Drosophila melanogaster: one gene and its partner. Changing the gene in region 1 together with any one later gene gives a genetic interaction. Each region holds a gene or a part of one and is shown in the gene's direction. Other genes may lie near its edges.

Region 1 (4,943 bases):
AGCCAGCGGCCTGGCCAGCTGCAATTTATATGGAATATATAAAAATGGAGATCAATTTTCAAGCCAGTGGCTAAATGATAGATACTCACATCCCAGGGCATTGATCACGTTGCCCAGGGCCAGAAGACCCTTATTGATGTTCACACCCTCTTTGAACCGATCGCCGCTGGCTAGGGTCTTTGAGCAGCGTTCAGAACCAGCCAGATCCACCAGGTTGAACCTGGACGTGGTAACGGATTGCCTATCGGAGATTGGAGGTCAAATGTGTATAAGCATTAAGTATTCTAACGAGGTGATGGCGGCCCACAACATACTTGCCGTCCAGCTTGGTGGCTACTAGCGTCAATGTGAATATGGCATGGGATCTTGAAGAGGTTTCATTCATAGCCGTGGCGGCCACAGCCCGTCCGGCTGAGCCGCGGATCAGATGATCGGTCACTTGCTGGGCGGATGTGACCACTAGCTCGGTGAGGCCCGGCATGATAATACGGTTCTTGACCTCCCTGATGTCTACGGTGGCCTTGTCCCGAGTTTTCGACGAAAAAAGGTCATAGAACTGCTCCTGGTAGAGCTCCACAAAAGAGCATGTGACAGCAAAACGAAATTCGCTCTGCATTTCCGCAATGGCTGTGAATATATCATGAACGGCGCGTGGTATAACGCCCACATGGTCATCTAACACTCCGTTGAAGGCGGTGCCCATAGTGTAGGTCTTTCCGGAACCCGTTTGTCCATATGCCAAGATTGTTACGTTATAGCCATTTAACAGCTTTTTCACTTTGGCCTGTACACACGTCTCGAATAGATCCTTTTGCGAGTCGTCAATGTCGAAGACATAGTTGTACGTATACGACTCATTCCGGTTGACTGTAACCTGTGGCGCTCCATCCGCCGATCGTTCGACGGCAATCCGGCAGCCGCGATCCAACTCGGACTGCACCAAGGGGCGCACGCGCAAGGCCACTGCCACACAGCTGGGATCCTCGCTGGACATCTGGGGGTAGGGGGAGGGAAGGACAATCATAACATTCCATCACCTTTACCGCCATCTCGACCAACACCACCAACCACTTACCTTCTCTGGGGCACAGCAAGTCCGACTTTGGTTAACTGATCAACTGGTTAGCACTTACAAAAACTTAGAATTTTGGTTGGTCTAGATTTTGGAGCAACGCGGCTTCTCCACGCGCAGCCCGGCACTCTCAATGAATTCGATTTTTGGATCAAGGAACTAAACTAATGAAACGCGACGCTAAGAAGCAAATGCATTTCTGCCAGTATTTTTAAAAATGGCGTTGTTATCGATTCGTTGCAGATGTCGATTAGTGGCGCGATCGACGGAGGTGCCGGTGTAGAAAGATTTCGATTTTTTTATAATTTGGCTCTTGAATAGCACATTTGCAAAAATGTGGTTGGACGATTTGTGCACGCCGATTTGACAAAATGAATCATTGACAGTGTATCTACATACTTATACATAAAAATAAAAGCTACCTAGATCTACAACTATTTTAGCTACTGCCAGTGATAAGAGCCCAATTCTTGTCAACTAGCCAATTCGCCGATAGCCGATAGCAGACAGCCGCACATATCTATCGCTTTTTTGAACAATCGTTGGTAGCAACAGGGAATTGCAGAAACCAGTTGTCTTGGGTTTCGCAAGAATTGGAAAAGGAGGATCTGGTCAAAGAGCAGGACATGGAGGAAGAGGCGCCGCGGTTCAATGTGCTGGAGGAGGCGTTCAACGGCAATGGGAACGGGTGCGCCAACGTGGAGGCCACCCAATCGGCCATATTAAAAGTGCTGACGCGCGTTAATCGCTTCCAGATGCGCGTCCGCAAGCACATCGAAGACAACTACACGGAGTTTTTGCCCAACAACACGTCGCCGGACATATTTCTGGAGGAGTCGGGGTCCTTGAATCGCGAGATTCACGACATGCTCGAGAACTTGGGTTCCGAGGGACTGGACGCCTTGGACGAGGCGAATGTCAAGATGGCGGGTAACGGCAGGCAGCTGCGAGAGATCCTTTTGGGTCTGGGTGTCAGCGAGCATGTGCTAAGGATCGACGAGCTGTTCCAGTGCGTGGAGGAGGCCAAGGCCACCAAGGATTACTTGGTGTTACTGGACCTTGTCGGTCGTTTGAGGGCTTTCATCTATGGCGATGATTCCGTTGACGGGGACGCGCAGGTGGCCACGCCAGAGGTTCGACGCATCTTTAAGGCTCTCGAGTGCTACGAGACCATCAAGGTGAAATACCATGTACAGGCATATATGCTGCAGCAGAGCCTCCAGGAGCGCTTCGATCGCCTGGTGCAGCTGCAGTGCAAATCCTTTCCCACATCGCGTTGCGTCACCTTGCAGGTGAGCCGGGATCAAACGCAGCTGCAGGATATTGTGCAGGCTCTCTTCCAGGAGCCCTACAATCCGGCGCGCCTCTGCGAATTCCTGCTGGACAATTGCATAGAACCGGTGATCATGCGCCCAGTGATGGCCGATTACAGCGAAGAAGCCGATGGTGGCACCTACGTTCGATTGTCGCTTTCCTACGCCACCAAGGAGCCCAGCTCAGCGCAGCTTCGCCCGAACTACAAGCAGGTCTTGGAGAACCTCAGGCTGCTGCTGCACACGCTGGCCGGGATCAACTGCAGTGTGTCCAGGGACCAACATGTTTTTGGCATTATTGGCGATCATGTGAAGGATAAAATGCTGAAATTACTGGTGGACGAGTGCCTGATACCAGCTGTGCCCGAAAGCACGGAGGAGTATCAGACATCCACGCTGTGTGAGGATGTCGCCCAGCTGGAGCAGCTGCTTGTAGACTCATTCATCATCAATCCCGAGCAAGATCGAGCCCTAGGGCAGTTTGTAGAGAAGTACGAGACCTACTACCGCAATCGGATGTATCGTCGAGTTCTGGAAACGGCGCGGGAGATCATCCAGCGCGATCTGCAGGACATGGTGCTGGTGGCGCCCAACAACCACTCAGCCGAAGTGGCAAACGATCCCTTCCTCTTCCCACGCTGCATGATCTCGAAAAGTGCTCAGGTAAGTCGTTCGCTAAACGAAACGATTGATTACGCACTAATGGATTCATTTTCGCCGGCAGGACTTTGTCAAACTAATGGACCGCATTCTTCGCCAGCCCACGGATAAACTGGGCGACCAAGAGGCCGATCCCATAGCCGGCGTCATTTCCATCATGCTGCACACCTACATCAATGAGGTGCCCAAGGTGCACCGCAAGCTGCTCGAGAGCATTCCACAGCAGGCCGTCCTGTTCCACAACAATTGTATGTTCTTCACACACTGGGTAGCGCAGCATGCGAACAAGGGCATCGAAAGCTTGGCGGCGCTGGCCAAGACACTGCAGGCCACCGGTCAGCAGCATTTCCGCGTGCAGGTCGACTACCAATCCTCCATCCTGATGGGCATCATGCAGGAGTTCGAGTTCGAGAGCACGCACACGCTGGGCTCTGGTCCACTGAAGCTGGTGCGTCAGTGCCTTCGCCAGCTGGAGCTGCTGAAGAACGTGTGGGCCAATGTGCTCCCGGAGACCGTGTACAATGCAACCTTCTGCGAGCTAATCAACACATTTGTCGCCGAGCTAATCCGTCGAGTGTTCACGCTGCGCGACATTTCCGCACAGATGGCCTGTGAGCTGAGCGATCTCATTGACGTGGTGCTCCAGCGGGCGCCCACGCTTTTCCGCGAACCAAACGAGGTGGTCCAGGTGCTCTCTTGGCTTAAGCTGCAGCAACTGAAGGCCATGCTGAACGCGTCGCTCATGGAGATCACAGAGCTGTGGGGCGACGGCGTCGGCCCGCTGACCGCCAGCTACAAGTCGGATGAGATAAAGCACCTAATCAGGGCGTTGTTCCAGGATACGGATTGGCGGGCCAAGGCCATTACGCAGATTGTATAGGGCGCGTGCGCCTTTTTTGCGAGCGAGGAATGTTGAACGGCGGATAGACATCACATTTGAGGTGGTAAACGGAGTCTAAATTTGATGATCACCATCAATGTGTCCTTACTTTAATTCCTTGAATTGTTTACCACAAATGCCAAAAGTAATAGAATTTGATAATCTTTAATTCTCCGAATGGTTTCTGTTGTACATAGAAAAGTAATTATCCACAAAAATCCATTCCATTCTTCCCGCAACGCAACACAATATTTAACTTAAGACTTATTTAAATGAATAAAAACAACTAAATCCCATTAGTGCGCCTCTTGTCGCGCTTGTAGAACGAGCATGTATAGCTGCTCAGTAAGCAGTCTGTGATCTCGGCCGTGGGTGACGGTTAGGATGCGTTGGGCCTCCTCCAGATGGTGCAGTGCCTCCTTGGAATGGCCCTCGTAGAGCTGAATCTTGCCCAGCTTCATGTGAAGCAGGCCCAATAGCGGATTCCAGGGTCCGTGGTATTTTCGAAAGCCTGGCAGCAAACGTTGCCCGTAATCCAGGGCGTCGCTCCACTTGCCCACTTCGATGGCTGCTTCGAAGGCCGCATCGAGCGTCTTGACGTACCACACATTCAGGGGATGGAACACGCCAGTCTGCTTGTCCAGACACACCTTGCACACATCGAGATCTGTGATCGAGAGAGTGAAAATGTGCTTATTATGGAGCTAATTCCATTTCGTCGCATCTACTCACAGGCCACGTCCTTCATGTTCTCCAGATTGTGCCGGGTCAGAGTCATCGCCTCGTTGAAGGCATTTCTCAACTTGGGACTGATGCCGGCATCGCATCGCGGGCAATTATTGCGGTCCACACTGATTCCCGCACCGCAGTTGCGATTGGGACACAGGGCAGCCAGCATCTCCTTCGATTCCTTGGCATCCGTGCACTTGCTGCACACGCATAGGAAGTAGTAGTGCTCCTTGAGGTCCAGACGCCTCTGCTCCGGCGTATTGAGCAGGTCGATGTAGCTGATGAAGAT
Region 2 (7,844 bases), on another chromosome or scaffold:
TTGGGAAGTGGTTGCGCCACCGAATCACGCGGTGTTCCTAAACTTTTCCCACTTTGATTTGGAGGGCACACGGTTTCACTACACCAAGTGCAACTATGATTACCTGATTATATACTCCAAAATGAGGGATAATCGCCTGAAGAAGATTGGCATTTATTGTGGTCATGAACTACCTCCAGTGGTGAATTCCGAGCAGAGTATCCTCAGGCTGGAGTTCTACTCGGATCGCACTGTCCAGAGAAGTGGATTTGTGGCCAAGTTTGTAATAGGTAACTTACAGAAAAAAATTAATTTACGTACGATCTATAATATCATTATTCCACAGATGTGGATGAGTGTTCAATGAACAATGGTGGCTGTCAGCACCGATGCCGAAACACCTTTGGATCCTATCAGTGCAGCTGCCGCAATGGATACACATTGGCTGAAAATGGACACAACTGCACGGAGACGCGTTGCAAGTTCGAGATCACCACGTCGTATGGAGTGTTGCAGAGTCCCAACTATCCGGAGGATTATCCAAGAAACATTTACTGCTACTGGCATTTTCAGACCGTACTGGGCCACCGGATACAGTTGACATTCCACGACTTTGAGGTGGAGAGCCACCAGGAGTGCATCTACGACTATGTGGCTATCTATGATGGTCGCTCCGAAAATAGCTCAACATTGGGCATCTATTGCGGTGGACGTGAACCGTATGCCGTTATTGCCTCCACCAATGAGATGTTTATGGTACTGGCCACGGATGCGGGTCTTCAGAGAAAGGGTTTCAAGGCCACCTTTGTCTCCGAATGTGGTGGCTACTTGAGGGCCACAAATCATTCACAGACCTTCTACTCGCATCCACGATACGGCAGTAGGCCGTACAAGCGGAACATGTACTGCGATTGGCGCATTCAGGCAGACCCGGAAAGCAGTGTCAAGATCCGTTTCCTACACTTCGAGATCGAGTACTCGGAGCGATGCGACTACGATTATCTGGAGATCACCGAGGAGGGCTACTCAATGAACACTATCCACGGCAGATTTTGCGGAAAGCACAAGCCGCCAATCATAATCTCCAACTCGGACACCCTTCTGTTGCGATTCCAAACGGACGAGAGTAACTCATTGAGAGGCTTCGCCATCTCCTTCATGGCCGTGGATCCACCGGAAGATTCTGTTGGCGAGGATTTCGACGCGGTTACACCCTTTCCGGGCTATCTCAAGAGCATGTATTCCTCAGAAACGGGCAGCGACCACCTCCTGCCACCCAGCAGACTCATTTAGATAAAATGAGAGGTCCAGCGAAGGGATTTAGAGTTTAATGTTTGTTGTTGAAATTTGTAAATAGATTGTGAATAAAAGATATTTCGAGTCATTTTGTTTACCCTATATTTTATTTTTAAAGGCACATAATATTTATATCTGTGATAATACACATTTGAATTTGGCGCTATAAAACTGTGCAACGTTCACACTGAGGATATCGATTGGTGGTGTTAACACATCTGGGTTACTCACAATTTATGTAAAATTACACAAAATAATATTCCTTAGAATGATCTTATCATATTAAATAATTTATGTTTAAAAATTGCGGACAAATGTAATCCTTATATTTTTAAGTCTATCGAAAACCATTCTGAAGACCCCTAACATTTCACAATCGATAGGTCGAATTGTTCGATAGCCCTTTGCTCCAGCAATCAAGCAATCGAGTATCGGCGTCGCTTCGTTTCGAATTTCAGTTCGAATTTGGATTTGTGCGGCGACGCTCTAATTTGTTTAATTTTTGTTCGTTAATTGTGTTAATTGATTAGTTAGTCGCTGTGTTAATGGACCACTAAGTTAGCTGCGAGCCCGTTTCTGTTTAGTTCAAGTTATTTCTGTTTTGGCCATTCCCTGCAATGAGCGCCTTTGAGGTTAGTTGAGTCCTCTTTTTGGAACTCCGGCAATAATTTTCCGAGAAATAACTAGATTACCGGTACTTACAGATCACAGTGACGCCATCGCGCCTAAAGCAAAAGAAGCGCGCCGAAGGACGCGAGCCCGCCGTCGTCGTCATGGCTCCGTTCTCCGCCAAGGCGATTGTGCAGTTCGAGGATGTGCCGATAACAAAGACAGCACGGCGCCAGGTGCGCGTTCTCAATCCCAGCGACGACGACATCGAGGTTAGTGGGTTGCATACGGCCTGGCAACTGTTATTTGATCAATGTTTTACAGGTCAAGGTAATGAAGGCCATCCGGGAGGAGCACAACTTAAGCCTGGAGTGGATGGAGCACACGGTGCCTGCAAGAGATGAGGTATCCATGGAGCTAGTGTGGAGCCCCGTCCTTGAGGTGGCCTGCAAGGAGACGCTGCAGCTAATAGACAACCGCAACTTCCGAAAGGAGGTGATGATCATACTCAAGTCCAAGAGCAACCAGCCGGTCAAGGTCAGTCAAAAAATGCATTTGCCACCCCTTTTACTTACATACCCTCTTTTGCATGTATCTCTTACCTTTCTACCTGAAGAACCCGCGCAAATTTCCTACTGTCGGCAAGACCCTGCAGCTGAAATCGCCGACAGGAGCTGGCAAGACAATGAAAAGCGTGGTATCCGCTGCTGTGCAGCAAAAGAAGCGCATGTCTGCAGCAGCAGCGCCTCCCTCCAAGCAGACATGGCGAGTGACTGCTCCTTCGCGTCCCGCTGCATGGGCACATCCACCTCCACAGGCTCCTCTTGTCGAGAAGAATGTATACAAGACTCCACAAGAAGAGCCCGTATACATATCACCACAGCCTCGCAGTCTTAAGGAAAATCTAAGCCCTATGACGCCAGGAAACCTACTCGACGTGATTGACAATCTGCGATTCACACCTCTCACCGAAACCCGTGGCAAAGGACAAGCTACCATTTTCCCGGACAATCTGGCAGCCTGGCCCACACCAACACTTAAAGGGAATGTAAAATCATGTGCTAATGATATGCGGCCGCGTCGAATCACTCCAGATGATCTAGAAGATCAGCCTGCCACAAACAAAACGTTCGATGTAAAGCATTCCGAGACTATCAATATTTCGTTGGACACCTTGGACTGCTCCAGGATCGATGGACAACCGCATACGCCCCTAAATAAGACAACAACCATTGTGCATGCCACGCACACCAGAGCTCTGGCCTGTATTCATGAGGAGGAGGGACCAAGTCCACCTAGGACGCCCACGAAGAGCGCCATACACGACCTGAAGAGGGACATTAAGTTGGTGGGTTCACCCTTACGAAAGTATTCCGAGTCCATGAAAGATTTGTCACTTCTATCGCCACAAACTAAGTATGCCATTCAAGGGTCTATGCCTAATCTAAATGAAATGAAAATCCGCTCGATCGAACAGAATAGATATTACCAGGAGCAGCAGATCCAGATAAAGGCCAAAGACTTGAATAGCTCCTCTAGTAGCGAGGCTAGTTTGGCCGGCCAGCAGGAGTTTCTATTCAACCACAGTGAGATCCTCGCTCAGTCCAGTCGTTTTAATCTCCATGAAGTAGGTCGGAAGTCGGTGAAGGGAAGTCCGGTGAAGAATCCTCACAAGCGCCGCTCTCATGAGTTGAGTTTTTCGGATGCACCTAGCAACGAATCATTGTACCGCAATGAAACTGTAGCCATTTCCCCTCCTAAAAAGCAACGGGTTGAGGACACTACTCTGCCCAGAAGTGCAGCGCCGGCAAATGCATCTGCAAGAAGCAGTAGTGCCCACGCCTGGCCACACGCCCAATCCAAGAAGTTTAAGCTAGCACAAACCATGTCACTGATGAAGAAGCCCGCCACACCACGAAAAGTCAGGGACACTAGCATTCAGCCTTCCGTCAAGCTCTATGACTCGGAGCTGTATATGCAGACGTGCATCAACCCGGATCCATTTGCAGCAACTACGACAATTGATCCATTTCTGGCATCTACCATGTATTTGGATGAACAGGCTGTGGATCGTCATCAAGCTGACTTTAAAAAGTGGTTAAATGCCCTTGTCTCCATACCCGCTGACCTGGACGCAGATTTAAATAACAAAATAGACGTTGGTAAGCTGTTTAACGAGGTGCGCAACAAAGAGCTCGTGGTGGCTCCCACCAAGGAGGAGCAGTCTATGAACTACCTAACGAAATACCGCCTGGAGACGCTTCGTAAGGCGGCTGTGGAGCTCTTCTTCAGTGAGCAGATGCGCCTGCCATGCTCCAAAGTGGCCGTATATGTCAACAAGCAAGCTCTGCGCATCCGTAGCGATCGTAATCTTCACCTAGACGTAGTTATGCAACGCACCATACTTGAGCTGCTGCTTTGCTTCAATCCCCTTTGGCTGCGCCTTGGACTGGAAGTGGTCTTTGGCGAGAAGATCCAGATGCAGTCTAATCGAGACATTGTAGGCCTCAGCACCTTTATCCTCAATCGCTTGTTCCGGAATAAGTGTGAGGAGCAGAGGTACAGCAAGGCATACACACTCACCGAAGAGTACGCGGAGACCATTAAGAAGCACTCATTGCAGAAAATCCTCTTTTTGCTGCTTTTCCTCGATCAAGCTAAGCAGAAGCGCATCGTCAAGCACAATCCCTGTTTGTTTGTTAAAAAGTCGCCACATAAAGAGACCAAGGATATTCTGCTGCGCTTCTCGTCGGAGCTGCTCGCCAACATTGGTGATATTACGCGGGAACTTCGTCGCCTGGGCTACGTTCTACAGCACCGCCAAACATTTTTGGACGAGTTCGATTATGCCTTCAACAACTTGGCTGTGGACCTAAGAGATGGCGTGAGACTAACCCGAGTCATGGAGGTAATTTTACTACGCGATGATCTAACCCGCCAGTTAAGGGTGCCAGCCATCTCTCGCCTTCAGCGGATCTTCAATGTAAAGCTAGCTCTGGGCGCACTTGGTGAAGCCAACTTCCAGCTAGGCGGCGACATCGCCGCCCAAGACATCGTTGACGGACATCGTGAGAAGACGCTTTCCCTGCTCTGGCAACTTATTTACAAATTCCGCTCGCCCAAGTTTCATGCGGCGGCCACGGTGCTCCAGAAATGGTGGCGCCGTCACTGGCTGCACGTTGTTATCCAGCGTCGCATTCGCCACAAAGAGCTTATGCGTCGCCACCGGGCCGCTACTGTCATTCAGGCCGTGTTCCGTGGCCACCAGATGAGAAAGTACGTGAAGTTGTTTAAGACGGAACGCACTCAGGCCGCAATAATTCTGCAAAAGTTCACCCGTCGGTATTTGGCCCAGAAGCAGCTATATCAGAGCTATCACAGTATTATCACCATCCAGCGCTGGTGGCGAGCCCAACAACTGGGAAGGCAGCACCGCCAGCGGTTTGTGGAGCTCCGAGAGGCTGCGATCTTTCTTCAGCGGATCTGGCGGCGACGACTCTTTGCCAAAAAACTATTGGCGGCGGCGGAAACAGCCAGACTTCAGCGATCGCAAAAACAACAGGCAGCTGCTAGTTATATTCAAATGCAATGGCGAAGCTATCAGCTGGGCAGAATTCAGCGACAGCAGTTCCTGCGCCAGAGGGACCTCATCATGTTTGTTCAGCGCAGGATGCGAAGCAAGTGGAGTATGCTGGAGCAGCGCAAGGAGTTCCAGCAACTAAAGCGTGCAGCTATAAATATCCAACAACGCTGGCGAGCGAAGCTTTCAATGAGAAAGTGCAACGCTGATTATTTGGCACTTCGTTCCAGCGTTCTTAAAGTTCAGGCTTACAGGAAAGCCACAATCCAGATGAGAATAGATCGTAATCACTACTATTCCCTGCGAAAAAATGTTATCTGCCTGCAACAGCGACTGAGGGCCATCATGAAAATGCGCGAACAGAGGGAAAATTATCTGAGGCTGCGAAATGCTTCAATACTAGTTCAAAAACGCTACCGCATGCGTCAACAAATGATCCAGGATAGAAATGCATATTTAAGAACCCGCAAATGTATCATCAATGTCCAGAGGCGCTGGAGAGCCACTCTGCAGATGCGTCGAGAAAGGAAGAACTACCTTCATCTCCAAACGACAACCAAACGAATTCAAATCAAGTTCCGTGCCAAGCGCGAAATGAAAAAGCAAAGAGCCGAGTTTCTTCAGCTGAAAAAGGTTACCCTTGTAGTCCAGAAACGTCGGCGGGCTTTGCTGCAGATGCGAAAGGAGCGCCAGGAGTACCTACATCTGCGCGAGGTTACCATAAAGCTGCAGCGCAGATTCCATGCTCAAAAATCAATGCGGTTCATGCGAGCCAAGTACCGCGGCACCCAGGCTGCTGTGAGCTGCCTGCAGATGCATTGGCGTAATCATCTCCTTAGGAAACGGGAGAGGAACAGTTTCTTACAACTGCGTCAAGCAGCAATAACACTGCAGCGACGGTACCGAGCTCGTCTGAATATGATCAAGCAGTTGAAGAGTTACGCCCAGCTGAAACAGGCAGCTATTACCATTCAAACCCGATATAGAGCCAAGAAGGCAATGCAAAAGCAGGTGGTCTTGTACCAAAAGCAAAGGGAAGCCATTATCAAAGTGCAACGACGATACCGCGGCAATCTGGAGATGAGGAAGCAGATTGAAGTCTACCAAAAACAGCGCCAGGCAGTCATCCGCTTGCAGAAATGGTGGCGCAGTATACGCGACATGCGGCTGTGCAAAGCGGGCTACCGAAGGATTCGACTCAGTTCATTGAGCATTCAACGCAAGTGGCGGGCCACAGTGCAGGCTCGTCGCCAACGGGAGATCTTCTTAAGCACCATCCGCAAAGTGCGACTTATGCAGGCATTTATCAGAGCAACTTTACTGATGCGTCAGCAGCGCAGGGAATTCGAGATGAAGCGAAGGGCTGCCGTAGTGATCCAGCGCCGGTTTCGTGCTCGCTGTGCTATGCTAAAGGCGAGACAGGATTACCAATTAATCCAATCCTCTGTGATCCTGGTGCAGCGCAAATTCCGTGCTAATCGCAGCATGAAGCAGGCACGCCAGGAATTTGTCCAGCTGCGTACTATTGCAGTCCATTTGCAACAAAAGTTCCGTGGCAAGCGTCTAATGATTGAGCAGCGTAATTGTTTCCAACTGCTCCGCTGTTCCATGCCGGGCTTCCAGGCACGTGCCCGCGGCTTTATGGCTCGCAAACGATTCCAGGCCCTGATGACACCCGAGATGATGGACCTCATCCGCCAGAAGCGCGCCGCCAAGGTTATACAGCGTTACTGGCGGGGCTATCTAATCCGACGACGTCAGAAGCACCAGGGTCTCTTGGATATCCGGAAGCGTATTGCTCAGCTGCGGCAAGAGGCAAAGGCGGTAAACTCTGTGCGCTGCAAAGTCCAGGAGGCGGTGCGTTTCCTTCGCGGACGCTTTATCGCATCAGATGCGTTAGCAGTGCTAAGTCGATTGGGTAAGTGATCCAGCTACGTTAGTCCTTATTATAACTAATCCTGCTTAATAATCCCGGCAGATCGTCTTTCGCGCACTGTGCCACACCTGCTCATGTGGTGTTCGGAGTTCATGTCCACGTTTTGCTATGGCATCATGGCTCAGGCCATTCGATCAGAGGTGGATAAGCAGCTTATAGAGCGCTGCAGCCGGATCATCCTAAATTTGGCCCGCTACAATAGCACCACGGTGAACACGTTCCAGGAGGGCGGTTTGGTCACCATTGCCCAGATGTTATTGCGCTGGTGCGACAAAGACAGTGAGATATTCAACACTTTGTGCACCCTCATTTGGGTATTCGCCCACTGTCCTAAAAAGCGAAAGGTAGCTAAATAGCGAGAGGATTAGGTTTTAGCGAGTTTTTAATCATATTCTTAATGCCTTCCAGATCATTCACGACTATATGACCAACCCAGAGGCCATT

What was found.
Region 2: of Zw10 (region 1) and asp, changing one suppresses a phenotype caused by changing the other (phenotypic suppression), as found in Drosophila melanogaster (one study listed by BioGRID).

Annotation. Positions count from the first base shown.
Region 1 is NC_004354.4:2,602,605-2,607,547, forward strand, and holds Zw10 (Zeste-white 10), read left to right. Parts: upstream 1-1,592; 5' UTR 1,593-1,698; coding exon 1,699-3,048; intron 3,049-3,109; coding exon 3,110-3,925; 3' UTR 3,926-4,220; downstream 4,221-4,943. Other genes in the region: Klp3A (Kinesin-like protein at 3A), read right to left, coding at 1-18, 90-241, 315-994; Smyd3 (SET and MYND domain containing, class 3), read right to left, coding at 4,222-4,592, 4,658-4,943. UniProt on the Drosophila melanogaster protein: Essential component of the mitotic checkpoint, which prevents cells from prematurely exiting mitosis. Required for the assembly of the dynein-dynactin, Mad2 complexes and spindly/CG15415 onto kinetochores.
Region 2 is NT_033777.3:24,752,149-24,759,992, forward strand, and holds the start of asp (abnormal spindle), read left to right. Parts: upstream 1-1,700; 5' UTR 1,701-1,892; coding exon 1,893-1,907; intron 1,908-1,979; coding exon 1,980-2,156; intron 2,157-2,208; coding exon 2,209-2,421; intron 2,422-2,500; coding exon 2,501-7,382; intron 7,383-7,442; coding exon 7,443-7,744; intron 7,745-7,808; coding exon 7,809-7,844. Other genes in the region: tld (tolloid), read left to right, coding at 1-269, 326-1,272. UniProt on the Drosophila melanogaster protein: Required to maintain the structure of the centrosomal microtubule organizing center (MTOC) during mitosis. May have a preferential role in regulating neurogenesis. Required for germ cell mitosis and oocyte differentiation.